Linked DNA regions of Coturnix japonica. Each later gene encodes a partner of the first gene's protein in a complex. Links are inferred from orthologs where the notes say so. Each region holds a gene or a part of one and is shown in the gene's direction. Other genes may lie near its edges.

Region 1 (2,444 bases):
CCTGAACAAAAGCAGACTTAGAGACATAGCAGAAGTCACAGTGGTGGTATATGAATCCATCAATGTGAAGCCACATATGTCTTTCTGCAGACAAAAACCTACCTGCCTGCTGAGCTGCTTTGGGTGACTTCAGAGAGCCCATGCTCCCACACTATGAACCTGTTTTTCAGCTAACAAAGCTCCACTGAAGATGTTCATAAGAATCAGTCTGTGACAGTTTGCTGTGAATTCAGTGCAATGAAATCACACTTGTTACTCTTTTTCCTTTTTCAGTGAAATACCCTTGTGGAAAAATACCAGTGCTGGCAAAAAAGAATGTGACTGCTCGGGGCAGAATAGTAGGTGGTGTCACCTGTCCTCCAGGTGAATGTCCATGGCAAGTGAGTCTTCCACTAATATTTAACATTGTCATTGCTGTTTTTCTCGTGAAGCCATTCAGTATTTTAAACGTGTTATGTTAAAATGCATCAAAAGTGTAAGGTTTGGGCAAACCATCTACACCCAGCAGCTCTACCTGTTTCAATCACGCATCTCAGCCTGGTTCTGAATGCCTACTTTCCTAGGAGTTGAGTCGTAATATAACCTCCTCTGCTTCCTGATCCCTCCATTGTTAATTATACTGCTAAGAACTTGACCTAGGGATACACTCTTGGCCATAATACACAGGATCTATGCTTAAAAAATGGAGAAAATGTTGATCAGAAAACTCCTCCCTCCTAAATTCTCTGCAAAATCAGAATAGTATTCTCAAGCACAGTTGTGTATGATGACAGAAAGAAGCAAAACTGGACTCTATTGAGATACAAGTAAAAAACTTGCTTTCTGTTGGCAGGCCCTTATAATACAGGATAAGAAAGGGAAGTGTGGTGGTAGTCTGCTCTCGCCAGAGTGGGTGGTGACTGCAGCTCATTGCCTGGATTACACTCATACCAAACAGCTCCGCGTGAGGCTGGGTATGTATCTCCCTTCCCCGTGTTAACAAGCTGTTGTTGTCTTAATTTCTCCTTCTGAGAAACCAGAGTGAAAACCAAAAAGAGTCAGATTAGAAATCTCCTGCATCCACCCACAAGCTCCCAAGGAATCCAGTTTCTGGCCAACATGACTTGCAATCATTAACTTTTCCAGGTGAATACTCAATAAAAGTTGATGAGAAAACTGAGCAAGAACGTGCAGTTAGCAAGATCATCAGACACGAAGAATACATCAATGGACAAGTCAATCATGACATTGCCCTCTTGAAGCTGGAAACACCCGTGAATCTCACCGATTTTGTGGTGCCAATATGTTTGCCTGAAAAACGGTTTGCAGTGTACGAGCTGTCCTCCATTAAGTTCTCAACGGTGAGCGGATGGGGACGGCTACTAGATGGAGGGGCTACTTCTACTTTTCTGATGCGAGTTGATTTGCCACGTGTAAAGACACAAGAATGTGAAAAGCAGGCTAAGTTAAACGTCACCGAGAATATGTTCTGTGCAGGAGACCTGACTGGCAAAAAAGACTCCTGCAAGGGAGACAGTGGTGGACCTCACGCAACGAAGTATAAGAACACCTGGTTTCTGACTGGGATTGTCAGCTGGGGAAAGGGTTGTGCTGTTGAAGGCAGCTATGGGGTTTACACAAGGGTATCCAGATACATCGACTGGTTGAAGAAGCACATGGAATGACAACAGTGAACCAGAGCATTTCCTTGCCTTCATCCCTCTGTGGCATTTTCCTACTGAAGCATTCCTCCGTTAACTCAGACACATGGTAAAGGTGATATTGTTCACAGTTTTAAATGAGCCTAATGCCTGCCTGAATAGATAAAATAACTTTGATATTGTTGTAAACTTGAATGTCTTGTCAAGAGGCCACAGAAAGGCTCTATCAAACCAGATGCAGAGTCCCTCATTCTTCACCCATTTTCTGGTAATAGAAAAGCTTGGTGCTGAAAAACACTGTCGGTAATGTGTTGAGTACACCGTGATCCTTCCTTGTGCTGCTATCATGGCTGCTGGTAATCAATGATGTACAGACTTCCTGAGCAAGAAGTTGCATGAGTCTGAGAGGTCATGAATGAACCCATTTGCCATACACATGTGCAATCTCATTTACACTTCCTGTGCTGATAGGTCCTGCAATACAATGAAGCAACAGCAGGGGAAAGAGAAATGGTGTTTCTTTTAGCTTATGGTGAAGAAACTTTCTTTTGCAGTTCCAGCAGGTGGATTTGAGAGGGAGGAATTGCAGAACATCCTCAGGACAAGAAATCCAGTAAAAGATTAATTCCACATTTATGGGTTTGCTAAGAAAACTTGATTTTAGTCTTCTTTCACTAAATATTACTGCAGTAAGGCTACTAACAATACATTTATGAGTATTGTGATGAAGACTACCACAGATTTAATCCTACATTTGCCTTCTTGTATAATTGGGATTCTTTCAAGTCATGCTGAATATCAGAT
Region 2 (3,917 bases), on another chromosome or scaffold:
AGAGTGCGATGTCACTGATGCACTCCGGAATGTAAAAGAGACCTACACAGCACATGTATTATCTGTAAAATCCTTGGTAGAGGACGACTTTGAAGAACCACCTTTTGCAAGCTCTGAAAAGTTCACACCTTATAATCAGAGTAAGTAGAGTTCCCAATTAAATCTTTTCATTAGCTTCCTTTCAAGATGATTTTCATTGACTTAAACAAGATTTGGATTTGGCCTAAAGCTTGCTCCTGTAGATTCTTCAGTAGCCCTACTGATGTCTTAGAAGATGGCATTCAGACATAAAGCTTTATTTCCCTGTTGCAGAGCAGTGTGTGAGATTTTAGCCAATACTTGTTTCTCACTTCACTGTTCACCATTTTATCAGCATTGTGTACAAGGTACAGATACTTGTTACTACCAGTACTGTCTTGGCTGAGTAAACTCTTCTGTTTGAGAAGGGAAGTAAGTTAAGGGAGGGAAAGAGCACATTTTGTAGAAAACAGTGGAAGTGTAGAACAAGCGAGAATGGGAAAAAGAAGTGATGCCAGTGTTTTAATTCTGAAAAATGCTTCTTTAGCTATTATTGGAAAACCGGAGATCCAAAACTACACACAAAAAGACTCCAAACTGCGTGTTGTGCTCCGTGATCCACTTACACCATATACATTTCCTAACGGAAGCTTTCAAAGTGTTCGAGATATTTTCAAACACGACCTGGAATACAAACTCTATTACTGGAAAGATCAAAGTTCTGGAAAGGTGAGGCCTTACTCTGCTTTTCTACATATTCTGTAGATACATAACAGCTATATAATTTTTCTGCTGCCTTAAAAGCACTCGTAATTTCGCAGAGGACATGAAATGATAAATGTTTTCTTCTTTACAGAAAGATACAACAACCAAAAGCAATACGTTTGATGTAAGCATTGACAACAAAAATAGCTATTGCTTCTACATACAGGGAATCATTCCCTCTCGCAGAGAAAATCGTAATGGTCAAGAAAGCACAGTGCTTTGTACCACTGTAGGAAGAACTACTTTAGATGGTATGTATCTAGTGAAGAGCATTGCGCTGCCTTCAGCATTCCAACAGAAAGACACTTCAGTTTTGAATGTGTTTTATAACTCTGTAATGTGTGATGCCTAAGTTACGAATGAACTTATGTAAGCGAAAGGACCACAGACTAATAGGAAGAACACCATTAGATAAGGACCCACCATCTTTAGCTAGCTGGAGTTGGCTGTAGAGTTTTGCTGAACTGCTTTGTTTCAGTTTTAAATTGTCAGAGCTGCTGACTGGTCACGAGAGTTTCAAGTCTCATCACTAGATTTCAGCTTTATTTTCTTTATTTGTTTGGCTTCTTGTGTGGTTGTTTTTTTTCCCCCACTGCTTCCCTTGAATCCACCTGATACAAGTGATCCCACAGCGAGTGCAAGTGGTTGATTATTTCTAAAGCATAGGAGTGCTGGAAATCTGAATGACAGGCATTTCCATTGACTTGTAATTTGAACTGAAATTTATTCTCTCAAAAGTACTGATGAGGCTAAGACTCTCTTTAGTGTTATATTGCCATGTCAGCTGACAGACTGACTTCTCATATATATGTGAGCAGACAGTGAATCAGCCAGTGTTATTCAGGCCAGAATAACACTTTCTTCCGTATAAAGTCTTAAATACTTATTAAATAGTATCACAATACTATCATGCTTGTTTTCTCTCCATTAGATGAAGCAACTTGGACTTTAAATAGAGAACCTCTTATGAAGTTTGCTTTCTAATTAACTTTATTATCTAAAGTATATGCTTTTAAATATCACAGTAGCTAAATTCTAGTAAGTTACAATTTAAATAAGAATATCTTTTATTGGTACTTTCTAGCTTCTAACCTAGAAAAAAAAAATACTCAGAGTTGGTTCCACAGAGATAATGCAGAGACTGGGGGAATGATTTGACCTACTCTTATTATTTATTTTGTTGTACTATCTAGATTAAAACCCACTGTGAACCACATGAAATAAAGCTTTACTTCAACAAATTCATTCTAAAACAAATTCAGTTCACACTAGGGTAACCATTCTACTTCCATGGTACATATTTTAGTTCAGTGTAAGGATTTGTAGCGCTGTGACGTGTTGTCTCTGATAACTTAACCTCGGATTATTTTTTTTTTCCCCAACTCTACAGAATACGGAGCAGAAGTCTTTATCATCATAGCAGTGGTAGCAATTGCAGTCATCACTCTGGCCATTGTCCTAGCGGTGATCCTGTGTAAACGCAAGAAAAAAGCAAAAACTGCAAGAGAAAAAGAACCACTTAATGGTGTCTAAAGGAAAACTGTTGTGGATACTCGTGGAAGACTCAAAGGCAGAAAAAAGGACGGAGCCTTTAGCCTCTCTGGTACAGGAAATTTGAAGCTAATGGATCTTTGAGTCCACCAAAGTTCTAGACAGTCACAGATTTAAAAACAAACAAAAGAAAGCCACAGATAGCAGGAAGCCCCTGTCTCCAGTGTCTGGAGGCTGGAAGAATATTTTGGTGATCTATTACAACATAATTACCCTCCTCATACATTCTTCTCAGCTAGAATCAAATGGATCTTTGATTTGACCAGGCACTCTCAAAATATAAGCATTACTGAGCCAGAAGTCTTTACAGTACTTGTGAGGAGAAGAAAAATACTCGTTTTGAAAATATGTCCTTTGCTAATGAAAAGGACCATTTTTCTGTTTCTATGAAACAAAACCTGTAATTATCTGACCTTCTTACAACATTATTAACTGGTGAAATGATTGTTAGTTCAGACGGTACGAAGATGCTACTGCCATTTCTGCACTTCTTGGATAAAACTGTCGTGGTCTGTTTATCTTTGGATATATCCAATCAGCAGTAAACAAATTAACACATTGGTGACCACTAATGTTCTTGCAGTAGGTAGCTGCTAACCATATGGAAAGCATATCTGGATTACACTACACCTACAGCTCCACAGACAGGGTAGCCTGTTGGCTCCAAGTAAGTGTTAGGATAAATACTTCAGCCTGAGGGAATAGTAACTCACTTCAGGCAAACACTGAGTAAGGAGCAGTAGTTACTGAACTTTATTTAAAATTAAATGGTAAATCAACTGTTTATGTATTATAGATTCAAATCATCTTGGTGATGGGATTCAGAGGTACTTTTTGCTATGACTGTTTTAATATTTATTTTATGGATGACAATCTAGTTTTTATACTGCTGATACCTGTATTTATAGTAATTTATACTTTTCTAGTGAAATAAAGGTGACTGGGAAAATAAAGCTTTTCTTTTTTTTTTTTTTTAAATGGAGTAAAATATTAATTTTGGAACTCAAGTTAAAAATGTGTTTAGGAAACTTACCTTGTGATTGAAGTTTACACAAGTTGTCAGAAATCCAGCCAGGACCACGTGAAATAAACCAGCAGGGCACCCACTACCTGCAAGGACAAAAATATGAGAAGCCATACTTCATGAACTAATGATAGGTATTGAAGAGCCCCAAGTTGCTGGTCAGCTTTCTGTTCGGTTAAGTGGTTATTCAGAATCAGCTTAATCTAATGGAAAGTATATTGGATGCCCAACTGGATGTTTGCTTAGGAATCCCCACGCTGATATCTTTACCACTTTTGATAGTAGTTTTCAGTCACGGCAGTATGGGATTTGATCCCAGGCTGATAACTGCTGCAACATTCAACCTATTGCTGCTGCTAACGATGGGGATAAGAACCAAAACAGAAAGGAAAAAAAAAAAGCATCGAGCAGTTCACACTAATTGGCTGTATACCTCAGTGGTATGTATGTGCCTTTGAGGAGGCATAACTGCATCTATGAGAACTGATAACAAAAAATATTTTACAGAATTGCATTTGATATTTGTTATTCTTACTATACAGTAAGATACTTCTTCATA
Region 3 (4,206 bases), about 41 Mb from region 1:
AACATGAGTTTGGGATGAGGCACAGCTACTCATTCTTTTCATTCTATGAAGCTGTTACTACCAGTAACAGAAACCGCGTAATTCACTCACTCCTCTGTAGTTCAGTCAGAGGACAACTCCAGCTGTACATTCAGAAGGCTGTGCTGACCCTAGCAGCTTCAAAGTCGGTGTTCAAAAAGCCCTTCAAGGTAATTTATTTCAAGGGTTGCACATATACACCTCTAGTCTTTGTACGTGGGAACCCCTGCCCTCCAGTCACAAAATCTACTCCTGATATTAGCATCTACTTCTGGCCTTCCACAGATTCAGCCTACGCATAGCACCCAAGTTTATCAGCTCGATTACATTCAGAAGAACTACTATCCTCCACAATTTTCAACCCTTAGGAAACCCTCACACTCTTCCTCAGCATGTGCTTTTCACCATTGGCCTGCTGTTAAGTAACTATTTCTTTAGTATAACCTACAGGTACCTACAGCCCTTACAGTCTCATGCAGATGAGGCCTTTGTAAGTTTAGGTGTTGGCTCCTGTGGCTAATCACTCAGCCTTTATGCTATAGATACCAGTTTAATTTAAATGTAAGTATACAATTGCTTGAGATGGAACAAACCTTAAAGGCCACACAGTCCAACTTCCCCTGCAATGAACAGGGGCACCGCAGCTCCATCAGGTGCTCTGAGCCCTGTCCAGCCTGACTTTGGGTGTCTCCAGAGATGGGGCACCCACCACCTCTCTGGGCAACCTGTTACAGTGCCTCACTGTTGTTACTGTAATAAACATCTTCCTGGTATCCAGTCTAAATCTTTTTGTTTGAAACCATTTCCCCTTGTCCTAACAGCAAAAGCCCTATTAAATAGCCTGTCCCCTTCCTTCTTACAGTCTACCTTTAGACGTTGAAAGGCTGCTCTCAGGTCTCCCCGCAGCCTTCTCTTCTTGAGGCTGAACAGCCCCAGGTCTCAGCCTGCCCTCATAGGGGAGGGGCTCCATCCCTGGGACCCTCTTTGTGGCTCTGCCCTGGATTCGCTCCAGTAGGTCCATGACTCTCAATGTAACGGCTCCTCCCCACGGCAGTGAGGCCACAGCACCTCTCCCTGGGATCCAAGAGCAGCAAAAGCAGATCTGGACTAGGAAAGACAGCTTAAGACCACATATATACACAGATCCCATGAAGAGCAGGCGGGCTGTTCCACACTCTACCTTAAGAAGATCAAATTCATACAGGAATCAAATTCATACAGGACAGCGTTTGCTTACACCCAACCTTTCTAGAGGTGCAGCGGCGGGAACTACAGCTCCCATCCATCCGCTCAGCAGCACGCACCCCTCCCCTCCCGCCGCCATCTTTGCGGGGCCGCCATCTTTGCTCAGGGAGTCACCGCCCCCCGGCGGCCAGGCGCGCAGGCAGCAGCATGGAGCGGGCGGCGCTGTGGGGGCTGCTGGCCGCCGTTGCTGTGTGGCCTTCGGGAGCGGCGGATGGTGGGTCAGAAGGTGAGTGAAAGAGACGGGCCGTGGGGAACACCACGGGGAAGAGAGCGGCTCTCCCTAGTTGCCTTTTATAGGGCGGCCCAGCACATGTAGGAAGGAGGGGCTGCCAGGCCCAGCCCTCCCCTCAGTCCTCACCTGGGTGTCCCGGCGGTGCTTTCATCACTTAACTGTAGCAATAGAGTCATTTCAGAGATAAAGTCCATGCAGTTCCTTGTAGTTACATAGCGGGATGCAACTAGTGCAGTGCAACAGTTGTGGTTCTCTAATGTGCGCTCAGGGAGCCCGGTTTGGTTTAACAGCCTGCAGGCAGCAAGGCTGTGCTAAAGGAACCGATGTCACTGCTCAGTAGGCAGCGTCAGTGGAGCAGTTATGGGTTGAAGGGTCAGGGTTCTGTCAGCAGGGGAATGGTCAGTGTCAGCCGTGCTCTAGTTCAGCTGTGTGGGCTGAAGTGTGTCCCAGGATCGTGGTGCGTCGCTATTGCCCTGCTGCCAGCTGGAGAAGTGCTGCTCAGCTTCTGCTGATTGCTCTGGTTGTTTAATGAATTAATGCCTTTCACTTTTCCTTTCTGTGTATTTTAGATGCCAAATGGAAAGCAATAACAGATCAAATTAACAGAGCTGTAGAAGTCTATAAGCCATGCGTAAAGGAGAATTGTAGCTGCTACCAAAGGTAAGAGATTAGTTTCCTTTTTACTGAACAGGGCTATGGTCATGATCACAGCACTGATAGATGGGAGTTAGCTGTAGAATATGTGTGCTCTAATGTAGCACATCTGCAGCCAACATAGGTTGCAGTGCTTACAAGGAGTTTATTAATGGCATTGTGTGAAACTTTCATAGTTCCAGCATGAGTTGTGTCCACCTGCAGATTGACCACCGTGCTTGTTGTCCTCTGTGACTGAACAACATAAACTGAGTCAGCATCTCATACGTAATCACACAATAATTCCATACACAGCTGGTGATATTTCTGTATTAGAAATCCACTCTGCATTCACCCTCTGTACAATATTTGTTGCTAACAGGTTTATCTGATGGACTTTTAAAACTGAGGGAAATAAATATATGTAAATATTTAAAAGAGGATTAAGAAGGATAATTACAGAACATGGATTTATTTGGCATGATGCTATGTGGTACTTGCTAACTTGTGGAACACTTGTATACCATAGTGACAGACATTACTAAAGAGTCCAGAAAGATAATACAGTACCTACACTGTATGACACTAAGAAACTCAGCTCATTTTGATAGCTGATCTGGAGAGATGCAAATGTGCAGCAGAATAGTGAAAGCCAGTCCCTTTCCTTAGATAATGGATTTTACTTGTGTCAGATTTTCTCTGGGTGGCCAAGAACTGAAAATTCTAGCCTGTTATTGACAATAGAAAGGTAGCAAACAGCAACGTGGATGCGCTATAAAACTCTTTCTTCCCGTTCTCCAGCTTGTTACATTTGCATCCCTGCTTATATACTTTGTCAACCTATCTGTACTGTAGCAATTCTTGATGTAGTTTACATTTTTCTGTCTGATACAGAATAACAGAATCATTGACCTCGGAGGGGACCTTTTGAGATCAAGAAATCCAACCTCCCTGTTCAAGCAGGGCCACCTAAAGCAAATGGACAGGATGGTGTCCAGTCAGACCAGAGACCCCACTACTTCTCTGGGCAGTCTGTGCCAGTGTTTTATCACTCACACATTTGGTTCATCCCCTTCAGATGGGTCTGTGCATTAAACCAGGCCATTGATGCAATGTCTACTAAAAAGTAGAGGGGAACTCTCCATGGCTGTTACCGTCTGAGAACAATTGTTAACTGCTCCAAGCAGTTGGATCTGGGGGTCTTTAGACTATATATAAACTGCATTCTCTGTCTGTATTTTAACATATCGGTTAGGTTTATGTTTTCTATTTTCTATTTCTACTATATTCTAGGAGCTCACCAATGACATGCAGATATCACAGAATACAGTCTATATAGGCTTGTTCTCCTGGACTAGCTTTTACTGTATGCAGCATTACCCAGTAATCCTTGTGACTAGACTGTTACTTACTTTTTTTATAAATTTTAAAATTGACATTTAGTGAGGAATTTGGTCTTGGTGTAGCCCACCATTATTGGAAATCCAGAACACAAGCTTCAGAACTCAAAGTTTAAGTGAACTGAAAGCTTTTATCCATAACCTGTCAGGGTGTTTAATGCCTATTTGTTTTTTGGAAGAATAACTGCAGTGAACCACATTGATTTAGTTTGAGAGTCCGGTGCTGGGTTTTCTGTTCAGGCAAACAGCACATAGATCATCACAGAGCAAAGCTGGGACTTTGGAGTCTCAGAGTAGTGGCTGTTTCAGTTGACTTAAGTTGAATCCTCTGTTATGCCATGTGTAGCAGAGCTGGAAGCCACATAAAGTTTGTTGTAACTAGAAACCTTTTCTGTATGCTGCAGTACTTTAATGTGCAGCATCCCCCAATGTACCTAATGATGGCTAATTGTTTTGTTTCAGTGTCTGGAAACAGGACCTGGCTCCTTTTCGAAGTGGCATTTCCAAGGAGACAATATCAGATGTGGTAAGCCGGAAGCTTGGAACACACTACCAAATCATTAAGAACAAGCTGTACCGTGAACATGACTGCATGTTCCCTGCAAGGTAAGAGCCACACAGAAGATCCTGCTTCCATACCTGGCACATAGGAATACTTCCAGTACTTCTAACCCTGAT

The links.
Region 2: the proteins of F7 (region 1) and F3 are in contact, whole or in part, in a crystal structure (PDB 6R2W), measured with the Homo sapiens proteins. The link is inferred for Coturnix japonica from reciprocal best matches to the Homo sapiens genes F7 and F3. Residues at the interface, in NP_000122.1 of Homo sapiens: Leu73, Lys78, Phe91, Arg96, Leu99, Phe100, Ser103, Ser120, Lys122, Gln124, Leu125, Ile129, Cys130, Phe131, Cys132, Leu133, Pro134, Phe136, Glu137, Gly138, Arg139, Lys145, Gln148, Ile150, Val152, Asn153, Glu154; in NP_001984.1 of Homo sapiens: Thr49, Asn50, Lys52, Ile54, Glu56, Trp77, Lys78, Ser79, Lys80, Phe82, Tyr83, Glu88, Asp90, Asp93, Gly141, Gln142, Thr144, Glu162, Arg163, Thr164, Leu165, Arg167, Phe172, Tyr188, Trp190, Lys191, Ser192, Ser194, Ser195, Gly196.
Region 3: the proteins of F7 (region 1) and POGLUT1 are in contact, whole or in part, in a crystal structure (PDB 5L0S), measured with the Homo sapiens proteins. The link is inferred for Coturnix japonica from reciprocal best matches to the Homo sapiens genes F7 and POGLUT1. Residues at the interface, in NP_000122.1 of Homo sapiens: Asp108, Gln109, Cys110, Ala111, Ser112, Ser113, Pro114, Cys115, Gln116, Asn117, Gly118, Gly119, Cys121, Gln126, Ser127, Tyr128, Arg139, Asn140; in NP_689518.1 of Homo sapiens: Met103, Phe104, Pro105, Ser106, Arg107, Arg132, Asp133, Pro171, Ala172, Trp174, Pro178, Thr179, Thr214, Asn239, Gln240, Ala241, Val274.

What each region holds. Positions count from the first base shown.
Region 1 is NC_029516.1:123,942,423-123,944,866, reverse strand, and holds the end of F7 (coagulation factor VII), read left to right. Parts: intron 1-273; coding exon 274-380; intron 381-832; coding exon 833-953; intron 954-1,125; coding exon 1,126-1,664; 3' UTR 1,665-1,937; downstream 1,938-2,444. UniProt on the Homo sapiens protein: Initiates the extrinsic pathway of blood coagulation. Serine protease that circulates in the blood in a zymogen form. Factor VII is converted to factor VIIa by factor Xa, factor XIIa, factor IXa, or thrombin by minor proteolysis.
Region 2 is NC_029523.1:11,730,372-11,734,288, forward strand, and holds the end of F3 (tissue factor), read left to right. Parts: coding exon 1-140; intron 141-565; coding exon 566-747; intron 748-874; coding exon 875-1,034; intron 1,035-2,173; coding exon 2,174-2,316; 3' UTR 2,317-3,287; downstream 3,288-3,917. UniProt on the Homo sapiens protein: Initiates blood coagulation by forming a complex with circulating factor VII or VIIa. The [TF:VIIa] complex activates factors IX or X by specific limited proteolysis.
Region 3 is NC_029516.1:82,808,228-82,812,433, reverse strand, and holds the start of POGLUT1 (protein O-glucosyltransferase 1), read left to right. Parts: upstream 1-1,283; 5' UTR 1,284-1,410; coding exon 1,411-1,489; intron 1,490-1,621; exon of another isoform or gene 1,622-2,064; coding exon 2,065-2,155; intron 2,156-3,990; coding exon 3,991-4,134; intron 4,135-4,206. UniProt on the Homo sapiens protein: Dual specificity glycosyltransferase that catalyzes the transfer of glucose and xylose from UDP-glucose and UDP-xylose, respectively, to a serine residue found in the consensus sequence of C-X-S-X-P-C.